Callithrix jacchus: one gene and its partners. The protein of the gene in region 2 binds, or shares a complex with, the protein of the main gene of each other region. Links are inferred from orthologs where the notes say so. Each region holds a gene or a part of one and is shown on either strand. Other genes may lie near its edges.

What was found.
Region 1: NOD2 (region 2) and MAP3K20 share a complex: the UniProt entries of both Homo sapiens proteins name them as parts of the signaling complex. The link is inferred for Callithrix jacchus from reciprocal best matches to the Homo sapiens genes NOD2 and MAP3K20.
Region 3: NOD2 (region 2) and MAP2K3 share a complex: the UniProt entries of both Homo sapiens proteins name them as parts of the signaling complex. The link is inferred for Callithrix jacchus from reciprocal best matches to the Homo sapiens genes NOD2 and MAP2K3.

The regions. Positions count from the first base shown.
Region 1 is NC_133507.1:56,214,419-56,217,649, reverse strand, and holds the end of MAP3K20 (mitogen-activated protein kinase kinase kinase 20), read left to right. Parts: intron 1-1,234; coding exon 1,235-1,935; 3' UTR 1,936-2,686; downstream 2,687-3,231. UniProt on the Homo sapiens protein: Stress-activated component of a protein kinase signal transduction cascade that promotes programmed cell death in response to various stress, such as ribosomal stress, osmotic shock and ionizing radiation.
Region 2 is NC_133521.1:8,618,733-8,622,478, forward strand, and holds the start of NOD2 (nucleotide-binding oligomerization domain-containing protein 2), read left to right. Parts: upstream 1-1,024; 5' UTR 1,025-1,087; intron 1,088-3,746. UniProt on the Homo sapiens protein: Pattern recognition receptor (PRR) that detects bacterial peptidoglycan fragments and other danger signals and plays an important role in gastrointestinal immunity.
Region 3 is NC_133506.1:64,704,193-64,707,938, reverse strand, and holds the start of MAP2K3 (dual specificity mitogen-activated protein kinase kinase 3), read left to right. Parts: upstream 1-1,420; 5' UTR 1,421-1,594; coding exon 1,595-1,643; exon of another isoform or gene 1,644-3,267; intron 3,268-3,746. UniProt on the Homo sapiens protein: Dual specificity kinase. Is activated by cytokines and environmental stress in vivo. Catalyzes the concomitant phosphorylation of a threonine and a tyrosine residue in the MAP kinase p38.

The DNA of each region.
Region 1 (3,231 bases), on a different chromosome or scaffold from region 2:
AGTCACTCACCTTAGGGGTGAGTGCCTAGGCAGTGAGGGAGACAGAGACATGTGCATGCTCTGATATCCTCCAGACATGCCATCTGCATGAGCAGGGGGTGGAGTAGCTGAGGAAGCTGAGGCCTGGAGGACCACGGAGGAACTCTAGAACATGGGCAACATTGTTCAGGCTCGGAGGAAAATAGAAAAGATCTCAGGTGTGAGGAAGTTGCTTATTCACTGAAATATACCTTACTAAATGATCCTTGTTAATTCACCATTTTCCTTTTTTTGAGAGACAGAGTTTCGCTCTGTTGCCCAGGCTAGAGTGCCATGGCATGATCTCTCCTCACTGCAACCTCCACCTCCCAGGGCAATCAAGCAATTCTCCTGCCTCAGCCTCCTGAGTAGCTGGGATTACAGGCTCGTGCCACCACGCCTGGCTAATTTTTGTATTTTTAGTAGAGACGGGGTTTCACCATGTTGGTCAGGCTGGTCTAGAACTCCTGACCTTGTGATCCACCCACCTCGGCCTCCCAAAATGCTGGGATTACAGGCGTGAGCCCTCATGCCCGGCCAACCATTTTATTCTACCTTAACTTCTTCCTACTTGCCAAGGCAGCTTCATTTTTTCTGCTGAAAATACATTTTATTCCCAAGCCTCAGGATCTCTCCTCTGGACACATGAACGGTCTCTCTTCCAAATAATCTCTAGCTGTCTCAACCTTTGGAACCTCATTTCTTTTATCTGCATTTAGGGTCCTTGAGGTTTTAAATGTGCACGTTGCAAAAAAAAAACCTTTTGTTTACTAAACATGCCACTGACACCTGAACACACTTTCTAGAAGTGACAACACTACTATGTAGGAAGAAGATGGGATTTAGATGCAGAAGGACTTGGTGTTATTGACTGAGTGATCTTGGGCAAGTTATTTGACCTCCCAAGCTTCCTCATTTATCGAATAAGACTATCAATATTTACCCAAGAAGATTATTGAGAGGATTAAGTGAGAAAGTGTAAGTGAAGCCCATGGAACAATGCCAAGCACACAGCATCTATCCAATAAGTGTAAATGTCCTTATTTTTTAAAGTATTTGTAATAAAGGAAATGTCCTTATACATAGCCTAGAATTTCTATGAATGGCAAAGCTTACAGCAGCGCAAACAGCCTTGAATTATCCTAAGACAGGCATGTGAATTAGGCATGCAGCTTTAGTGTGGCTTAAAAGATACTCATTTCCATTTCTCCTGCAGGTGCTGATTGCCAGTGGTTAGATACTCTGAGGATGCGGCAGATTGCATCCAACACTTCCTTACAGCGTTCCCAGAGCAATCCTATTCTGGGCTCACCATACTTCTCACACTTTGATGGCCAGGATTCCTATGCTGCTGCTGTGAGACGGACCCAGGTGCCCATTAAGTATCAACAGATTACACCTGTGAACCAATCCAGAAGCTCCTCTCCTACTCAGTATGGGCTGAACAAAAACTTCTCTTCCCTACATCTCAACTCTAGGGACAGCGGCTTTTCCAGTGGCAAAACGGACACCTCTTCAGAGCGGGGTCGCTACTCAGACAGAAGCAGGAACAAATATGGTCGTGGTAGTATATCACTCAATTCTTCTCCTAGAGGAAGATACAGTGGAAAAAGTCAGCATTCCACTCCTTCAAGAGAGAGATATCCTGGAAAGTTCTACAGGGTTTCTCAGTCAGCACTCAAGGCTCAGCAGTCCCCTGACTTCAAGAGAAGCCCCAGGGACCTCCACCAACCCAAGACCATACCAGGGATGCCTTTGCACCCTGAGACTGACTCAAGAGCCAGTGAAGAGGAGAGCAAAGTCAGTGAGGGGAGCTGGACAAAAGTGGAATACCGGAAAAAGCCCCACAGGCCCTCTCCCGCCAAATCCAATAAAGAGAGAGCCAGAGGGGACCACCGTGGATGGAGGAACTTTTGATGAACTGAACTCCATGAGTTTTTCTAAGCAGGTTAAGAAAAAAGAAATGTAATGGCTTTTGATAATATGATCCCTTCAGATTGAATTAACAAAAAGACAATACTTCCATGCTTTGGATTGGGAAATACCTTTTAATTGAGACTATAGCCAAACGAGGGCCAAACTTATGGATTCTGGTTGCCCAGTGATCATGACTGGACTTGAAAATCACTACACATATTTTCTCCCTCAAGTGAACATTAGAGGAAGGGTTATGCCATCTTTTTACCCTAACCACTGATATTCTTGTTGGCAGGACCAGGACTAGGGTAAAGCAAGTGAGGTCAACAAAAAATTCACATTTTTAGGTAAAGACAGGATCAGTGTTACTGATTTTTCCTTTTGGCTGAGGCTGCAGTATGGCCTGGCAAGGCACTGTTACTGATCTTGTCTTTATTTAACATGTTGATATTTTGTTCTTTTTTTTTTTTTTTTTGCATTTGTTTTCTTTTTAAAGTATTGCATTAAAATATCATTTAGCTTGATTATTGAGTTTTTTGGTTTGGGGTTTTCTTTCCCCCCCTCTTTTCATGCCCCCTTAAATTTTGTGCCCAAGGCAGGTACCTCACTCATCCCACCCTTGGCTGAATTCTGCTAGTTAGTATTTAGTATTTATTTTAGTAAGATATTTGTGTTTTTATCATGGTCAGAGTTGAACTGATTTGGCTTGTCATTTTTCAGTAATAAAAAAGGTTACTGAATTTAATGTTGATTATGATGCATATCTCATTCATTACAATTCATCAGAAACTAAAGATTTAAATTGCCTAGATTTGTGGTTCTTTCTCTCCCTAACCTCCCTAGGACTGCTTTTGAATATTATTTTCTAAATTTCACCAAAGAAGGAGCAAAGAGGGAAAAACAACAGTCCATAAAGGCCCCTTGGGATGTCAGAAAATCTAAAATCTAAAAGAAAACAGACACAGAGTAAGATAATAACGTCACAAGCTAAAAGCCAGAGAAATTTAAAATTACCAACATCCTTGTTGGTACGAGACAGTAAATATCAGCTTTGCAGCTCTAAGACCGCTCTAAGCAGCTGCAGGCAAAGAGGTAAAACCCGTGCGGGTGCAAGGAGACTGTCTGCAGCTTAGGGTAGAAATGGTGGGATGATCCAACTTGTGAAATGCTTCATGTTTTACAAACCAAAAAAGTCAGGCAGCAACAAACTTATTCTATATCAAATCAATAAATGTTACTTTTGATATTCTGAGATTCCATTCAGCATTCACTAACCCTGAAAATCAAGTGTCCTTT
Region 2 (3,746 bases):
GTGTGTGTGTGTGTGTGTGTTGGAAGCGGTGTGTGTGTATATGTGTGTTGGGAAGCAGTGTGTGCATGGTGTGTGTGTTGGGAAGCAGTGTGTGCGTGGTGTGTGTGTTGGGAAGCAGTGTGTGTGTGGTGTGTGTTGGGAAGCGGGGTGTGTGTGTGTGTGTGTGTTGGGAAGCGGGGTGTGTGTGTGTGTGTGTTGGAAGCGGTGTGTGTGTATATGTGTGTTGGGAAGCAGTGTGTGTGTGGTGTGTGTTGGGAAGCAGTGTGTGTGTGGTGTGTGTTGGGAAGTGGGGTGTGTGTGTGTGTGTGTGTGTTGGAAGCGGTGTGTGTGTATATGTGTGTTGGGAAGCAGTGTGTGCATGGTGTGTGTGTTGGGAAGCAGTGTGTGCGTGGTGTGTGTGTTGGGAAGCAGTGTGTGTGTGGTGTGTGTTGGGAAGCGGGGTGTGTGTGTGTGTGTGTGTGTTGGGAAGCGGGGTGTGTGTGTGTGTGTGTGTTGGAAGCGGTGTGTGTGTATATGTGTGTTGGGAAGCAGTGTGTGTGTGTGTGTGTGTTGGAAGCAGTGTGTGCGTGGTGTGTGTGTTGGGAAGCAGTGTGTGTGTGGTGTGTGTTGGGAAGCGGGGTGTGTGTGTGTGTGTGTGTTGGGAAGCGGGGTGTGTGTGTGTGTGTGTGTTGGAAGCGGTGTGTGTGTATATGTGTGTTGGGAAGCAGTGTGTGCGTGGTGTGTGTGTTGGGAAGCGGGTTGTTCTGAGGACTGTCCGGTTCCCTCCTGGTTGAAATGAGGCCCAGAAAGGGAGGCCTGCTGACCAGGGCACCCAGCCAGGACCGTCCAGCCCCGCAGACAGGCCCGGCCCCTTTCCTGCGCCCTCCCTCCCTGTCCCCTGTGAGCCTCGCCAGCCCTGGAGTGGGCGCTCTCGGGGCTGCGTGGCCTGGGACTGGAGCGGGTGCGGCCGTCCGGGCAGAGCAGGGGCGGGGTCCAGGCGGGGGTGGAGCCGAACGCCCGCGCAGACGGAGGCGCAGCCCAAGCCGGAGGTGGAGCCCGGAGTCGTGGCCCACAGCAGGCCTGGGAGTCCGGGCGCCGGCGGCTCGCGGTGAGTGCTGTTTCCTGGCGCGAGGCCTGTGCCTAGCGCCTGGGGGTGGGCTGCGGGAAGACTGTGGGTGTCCATGGTGCCGCCCCCAGGACTCGAACACTTGGCGTCCGTCCGAGCAGTCTAGCAGTCTTGGCTGCAGGGCTTGGAGAAGGGTTGCCTCGGTTTCTCCTGGGGGAGTCCCGGGTGTAGATGGGACATGAGAAGGAAAGGGGACATCTCCAGGTTGGGGAGGCTCCTGGCAGGAGTGGAAAGTCCTGAGGAGCCCGGGCTTCAGGTCTCTGAGGGCGCCATTCTTTTGAGTTCTTTCCTCTCTGTGGGACTCAGTTTCCTCATCTTCACCATGCCAGTGAGTGGTGTGAGAGGGTCTGCCCGGAGGATCCTACTGCTGCTGTCTGCACTTCTTAGGGGAATCTCCTGCCTCCTCCTTCTCCCTTGGTGGGTGTGAGATCTAAGTTCAAATCCATCCCTCCCCAGATAGCCCACACCAGGACCTGTGTGGCCACATCCCCCGGCTGTTTGCTCTCTGCTTCTCAAGTTGACGGAGCAGCTGTCTGGTCCTGCTTACATTCCAATGAACTGAAAAGCCCTCCACCCAATAGCCCTGCGGAGGGCCTCCTGAAGCTGCATGAGGGTTGGAGGCTGGACCCCCGCTTCCAAGTTTGCTTTTTCTGAGCCCTTGGGCTTCTTGCCATGGCCTTGGTTTTCCCATGGGCTGTGACTTGGCCTCCTCCAAGGTCCTTGTTCTACAGAGGGGGATCGCCTGCCCTGTCACCCTCCCCAACCCCTTAGTGAAGAAGACCAGAGTGACATCCTCACTGCCTGTACTTGCCTGTCCCAATCACTCAGCCATGGGGTTGCTGCAGCCCTTGAATTTGGCCTCGCAAGGTCCCTCTGCCTCTCTGCACCCTGGGATCAAGGCTGGAAGCATCCTCATCCAGCCCACCTCCCTCCAACCCAGTTCAGAAGCCCTCTGCAACACATGCCTGGTGGTGGGGAGCTTATTACTGATGAGGTGGCTTTTCAGTGTCTTACGGCTCTTGTTTCCTTTACCTAAAATCTGTGGCTTACAGATTTTGCACTTGGTTCCACATCTGTCTCCTGGAGCCATGCAGAGCACATCCATTCTTTCACCCATTCCAGCAGTCATCATTCATGCACTGAATGAGATGTGAGACTGAGCAATGGGGAAATCAGATTAAACTCCCTGCCCTCATGGAGTGCACATTCTGGAAAGGAATGGACAGCAATGAAAGAGGTAAATCTGTGGCATGGCAGGCAGTGGGAAGTGCTACGAGTAAAACAAAGCGGGGAAGCAGGATGGGGTGCTGGGGCTGGGTATTGCATTGTATATAGCACAGTTAGGGAAGGCTTCCCCAAGACCACGACAGCTGGGCAGTCATCAGGAGGCAAGGGCGAGCCTTGTGAGTATCTGTGCGGGCGGGTGGGGGGGCTTTGGCTTTTACTCTGAGCGCGGTGGGAGCCCTGGTTTGGAGCTGAGAAGTCACCTGCTCTGACTTGGGGTCTGGCAGGCCCATCCAGCTGTGGGGTGGAGAATGGATAGTGATGGGTGGACTAAGGGCAAAAGGAGAGCCTGGTGAGAGGATCAGTACATTGTTCCGGGGAGAGACCAAAGTGGCTTACACCATGGCCCACAGGTGGTTAAAAAAAATAGAAAAAAACCCCAGACCTTCAGATTTGGGATATATTTCAAAGGCTATGTCAATAGGATTTGGGGTGCAAGAGAAAGGTAGAATCAAGGATGATTCTGAGTTTTTGGCTCAAGCTTCTGGAGGTTTGAAGCTGCCGTGAACTGCAATGGGAGTTGCGACGGGGGAGATCAGGAGTTTGGTTTTGTGCTTGTCGTGTGAGCTGTCCATTAGGCACCAACGATGATTAAGCAGTTGGGAAAAGTTAAGGGCGGAGGTTGGAGTTGGAAATGAAACTGTGGGCATCGTCACCCTATAGCTGGTATTTAAAGCCGCAAGAGCAGGTGGCTTCATCTAGGAAGGGAGCACTATGGAGAAGAGAAGGGGTCCAGCCATTGAGCGCTGGGGCCCCCGGTGTTAGGAACCAGCCAGGAAGACAGAAAGAGTGAAAATGAGAGAGTTGGGGTGCCCCAAGGGGGAAGGAGGGAGCAATTATGACCAATGCCCCTGGTGGAGCAATTATGACCAATGCCCCTGGCAGAGCAAGCAGGCTGAGGGCTTAGGATTGAGCAATGGGAGGTCACTGGTGACCATGATCAAAACAGTCTGACTGGAGCTGGATGGGGAACTTGGGGGATGAGAAGGGATGGGAGGATTTGGGGACAGCAGTGCAGGCACAGACAAGGGGGCCTGCTATAAAGGAGGCAGAGAAATGGGATTGGAGCCAAATGAAGAAGAGGGGCGTCAAGAGAGGGCCTTACTTTTACAATGGAGGATTAGAGTGCATTGTTCACTGGTGGGGGAACTGGTCTTTTAAGGAGAGAAGCTCAGTGCTGGGGAGGGAGAATGGAGGATGGCTGTGGGAGGGTGTGGGGCTTGGCCCCAGCAGAGTCCCAGAAGGCTTGGGAAGTTGAGCTTCCTTGAGTTTCCCCTCCTTTTCTGTCTGCAAGGGGTCAGTGGGCTGAGATTTCAGCACTTAAGCCAAGCATTTGCTCTTGGCCCCAGAAAAACCA
Region 3 (3,746 bases), on a different chromosome or scaffold from region 2:
AGCTTCTCAGTGACTTCTCCAAGGTCACCCAGCTAGTAAGTGGGGGAGCTGGTGTTGGAGTTTGTACGGGTCTGAGCCCCAGGCTCATGATTTCCACCCCATGACCTGGGAAGGGTAAACAGGAGATGCAGGAAGAGAAAGGTGATGACTCCAAGGCTTCCCTCTTATCTCACGTGGCCCTCCCCGCCGCTGTGTGCACGGGGCCTGCATCACCCCCACTTTACACCTGGGCAAGCAGAGGTCAGCCCTGGCCTCAAGCGTTCTGGCAGGTGGTGGAATCTGCTTCCCTCACGTGAGGTCCCTGACAGGGTACACACTCATGTCTGCCTGGAGGCCAGGGGCTGACCCATTGCCCTTTGCCTGGCACATTCTGCCCTCACTAGCCCTGGATTTACATCCAGAGTCACCTGATCCCAGCACCAGATTGGTCAGCGGTTCCTGAAATTCCCCCAGGTTCTGTGTGGGAGCAGAGGGAGGACTGGCCCATCCACCCATTATGCAGATGAGCAGACTGAGGTCTTAGCAGGAGTGGAGAGAACCAAGGCCCAGGAGAGAGCCGGGATGGGGCCTGGGGCTCGCGGGATAAAATGCACCGCATGCCACCTCACTCCTTCTGAGACACAGTTTCCCCCTGTGTAGAACAGGGGCAACAGTAACCAGCCACGAAAGCTCCTCGTGCTGCCTTGTCACCGGGCATCGCTGAGCTCACCACCGACTCCACGCCCTGGACTGGCGCCTGGTGCCCGGGCTCAAGTGAACGTTTGTTGGCGCGGGGCTCTCCGTGCGTGTTAGCGAGCAGCGCCGGGAGGTGGCTGTCACCGCCGCCCGCTCACAGAGGCTTAGACTGAGGCTCAGGTGTCACGACCTGCCCGAGGCCAGTCCCGCTGCAAAGTTGCCGACTCGTATCTGAAACCCGGTCTCAACCCAGCAGCTTGCTTTTAACCCCCGGCCTCCTCGCCAGGCCCAGCCGCACCACCTTTGGGGATCTCGGGGTTTTTCCAGACCAAGCACCCAGGAGAACGCGCCCTCGCAGCGCACCCGCCGGGGCTGCGGGTCTGGAGGTGCTGGGCGGGGTCTGGGGGTGCTGGGGGGGGTCTGGCGCCAGCAGGGAGTTGCGGGCTCAGTGGGTCCCGGGAGTGGGCGGGGCTTGCGTGTTGACGGGCAGCGCGAGGGGCGAGGCTTTAGATCAGGAGGGCGGAGTCTGGCCGGGCCTTGTTTTTTCGGGCGGCGGGCGGACTTGACAGAGAGCGAGAGGGACCAGGATCTTGGGCCCACGGGGTGGTTGGGCGTATGTTTGATAGGCAGGGACAGCCGGCGTCTGATAGGCGGGGTACAGGCCTTGGAAACGGGAGGGCCAATCGGCACGCAGGGGTGGGGCCTAAGTTAGCGCTGTTCGGCCGGGGTACACCGGGCGCTGCCCAGTCTGGCTCTGGCGCCGCCAGTTGCGGACGCGTCCCGCTGCAGTCGCTGCCGCGTGCCTCTGCTCCTCCGCCTGACCCGGGCTATCTGCCCGCAGCCATGAGCGTGCTCGGCCCCGGTGGAGCCCGCTGTCCTCTAGATTAGTCCCCGCCGCCGTCCCGGACCGGTCTGCAGCATGGAGTCGCCAGCCTCGAGCCAGCCCGCCAGCATGCCCCAGTCCAAAGGTAGGCGCTCCCCGCCGGAACCTTGTCCTGACCCCGGGCCCAGTCTGGGGTCGGGCTGCAAACTCTGACCGTTCTGTGGTCCCACCCTATCCTGTCCTTGACCTAGCAGCGGCGCCCTGTCCCGGAACCCCTTCCTGTTTGGGTTCCCAGGACCGGCCCCAGCCTGGGACCTCACCTGGATCCCCAGGTTAGGCCTTGGGACTGCACTCAGGCTCGAGATCACCCAGGCTGAACCCAGGCGAGGACTTTGTTCCCACCCATCCAAGTCAGGAGCCCCACTCTGACCTCATTTGGGCCTTATGGCTGCAGCCTAGACAGGAACTCTCCCAATCTTCTCCGTCAGCGGGACCCGGGTGAGATTCACACTGGCCCCCACCTGGATCCTTGGTCAGCACCCAGTCCCACGTCCAGTTTCGGGACCCAGGGCTGTATCTAGGCTGGGATATCGCTTGCGTCTCCATCTGGGCCCCAGAGTGCTCCTGTTGTTGCGGGCCTCACTGTAGCCCCTATGTGGGTGCTCTGGCTATACCCCAGCTCAGAACCGCCTGACCTCCTCTCCCCCAACTCTCCCTCTCCTTTAGGCCCTATGTTACCCCTTCCCTGGCTGACCTCCACCCCGTCCTGCAGTCCTGTGTCCCCAGGAACCTCCCTTGTCCTCTCACCCCTCCGTAAGGTGCAGCCCCCTCTGTACCGACTCCTCTCTGAGTTGCAAGCTTCTCCCTGCACTTGGGGCGCTCACCCCATCTGGTTCCCGTCCCAGCTGCCTGGGATCTGGGCCAGCCGCCAGGCCAGGGTGCTGGCTGTGCAAGGGATTTGCTCTTCTCCAAGTAGCTGGCTTTCCTGGAAATTTTTGTGAGGTGGCGGCAGCAGGATTTGTCATGCGGAGGGGGGAAGGACGAGACTTGGAGGGCAGAAGGGGAATTTTTTTTTTTCAGGAAGAGGAGAGGATGTTTTTGGTGCGTCGGAGTTTCAGCAGGCTGTGTTGTGAGAGATTTCCAAACCGGACATAGCTGTAATGAATGGGCTGCCTCACCCCAGCAAGCTCCCTGGTGTCTCTGGGTCTCAGTTTTCTTTTCTGTAAATTGGAAGTCATCACACCTGCTTCTGTGGACGCGGGAGTGGGGTGTGGGGTGGTGAATGCTAATGAGCTCTGAGGCGTTCTTTCACTCAAAGAGAGCCTGGCGAGGGCCAGTGCTCACCAGGGGACACCGGCTGCATGCATCCCGCTGTTGCTTTCATTCTTGCTGGAAAGGCCCCCGCTGCTGGGACTCCACTGCAGAGTGAGCAGGAGGCAGGTAGCAGCGGGCACCCCCTCATCAGGGGTCAACCACTCTCCTGCCCTGGAGGGTGCATGCCAGTGGAAGCCCTATGGGGGTCTGGGGAGGGCATGGGCTCTTCCTGGCCCCTGCTGCTGGCTGCTGTGGTGGCTGGAGCCGGGTGGGCAGAATAATTATGCCTTACATAAGTGGGAGGCTGGATCCCTGACAACTGCCCAACCACTGTGAGTAACTCAGGAGGCACTCGCCGGGGGAGGCATCTGAAGAGGGACTTCACTGCACAGACCTCGTGGAGCTTGGGAACCGGGAAATCAGACACTTCTCCACTCTGGAGAGCTCGGGGAGGGGTAAGAAGCACTGTTTGTTTTGGAGGCTTTTTTAGCTCTCCAGGCAGGGAATGCCTCAGCAAAATAAAAGCTCCAGTTGCAGAGTTGTGCAGGGAGAGGGGTCACAGAGGTGGTGGGAGCGCTGTGAGAAGGCCAGGATGAACTTCTAGATGTGAACCCAGGTCCCAGATGAGGTTGGGTGGGCTGAATGGAGGGTCAGGGACCTCCCTCAGGCCCAGGCACTCTATAGCCTCTTCGGGGTCTGGAGAAGTATGTGGTGGCAGAGCCACAGTGCCCCTCACCAAAATCCCTGTGAGCTCCTTCTTTTTTTCCATGTGCCATGCATTTCCTCATTCATTCCTCACAGCCCCATTTACAGATAAGGAAACTGAGGCCCAGAGGCATTAAGTGCCTTGCCTGAGGCCACACAGAGGTGACAGGTGTACTAGGGTTCCCCCAGGACTGTGTGTCTCCACAGAGGTCTTCCCAGTGACCCCCTG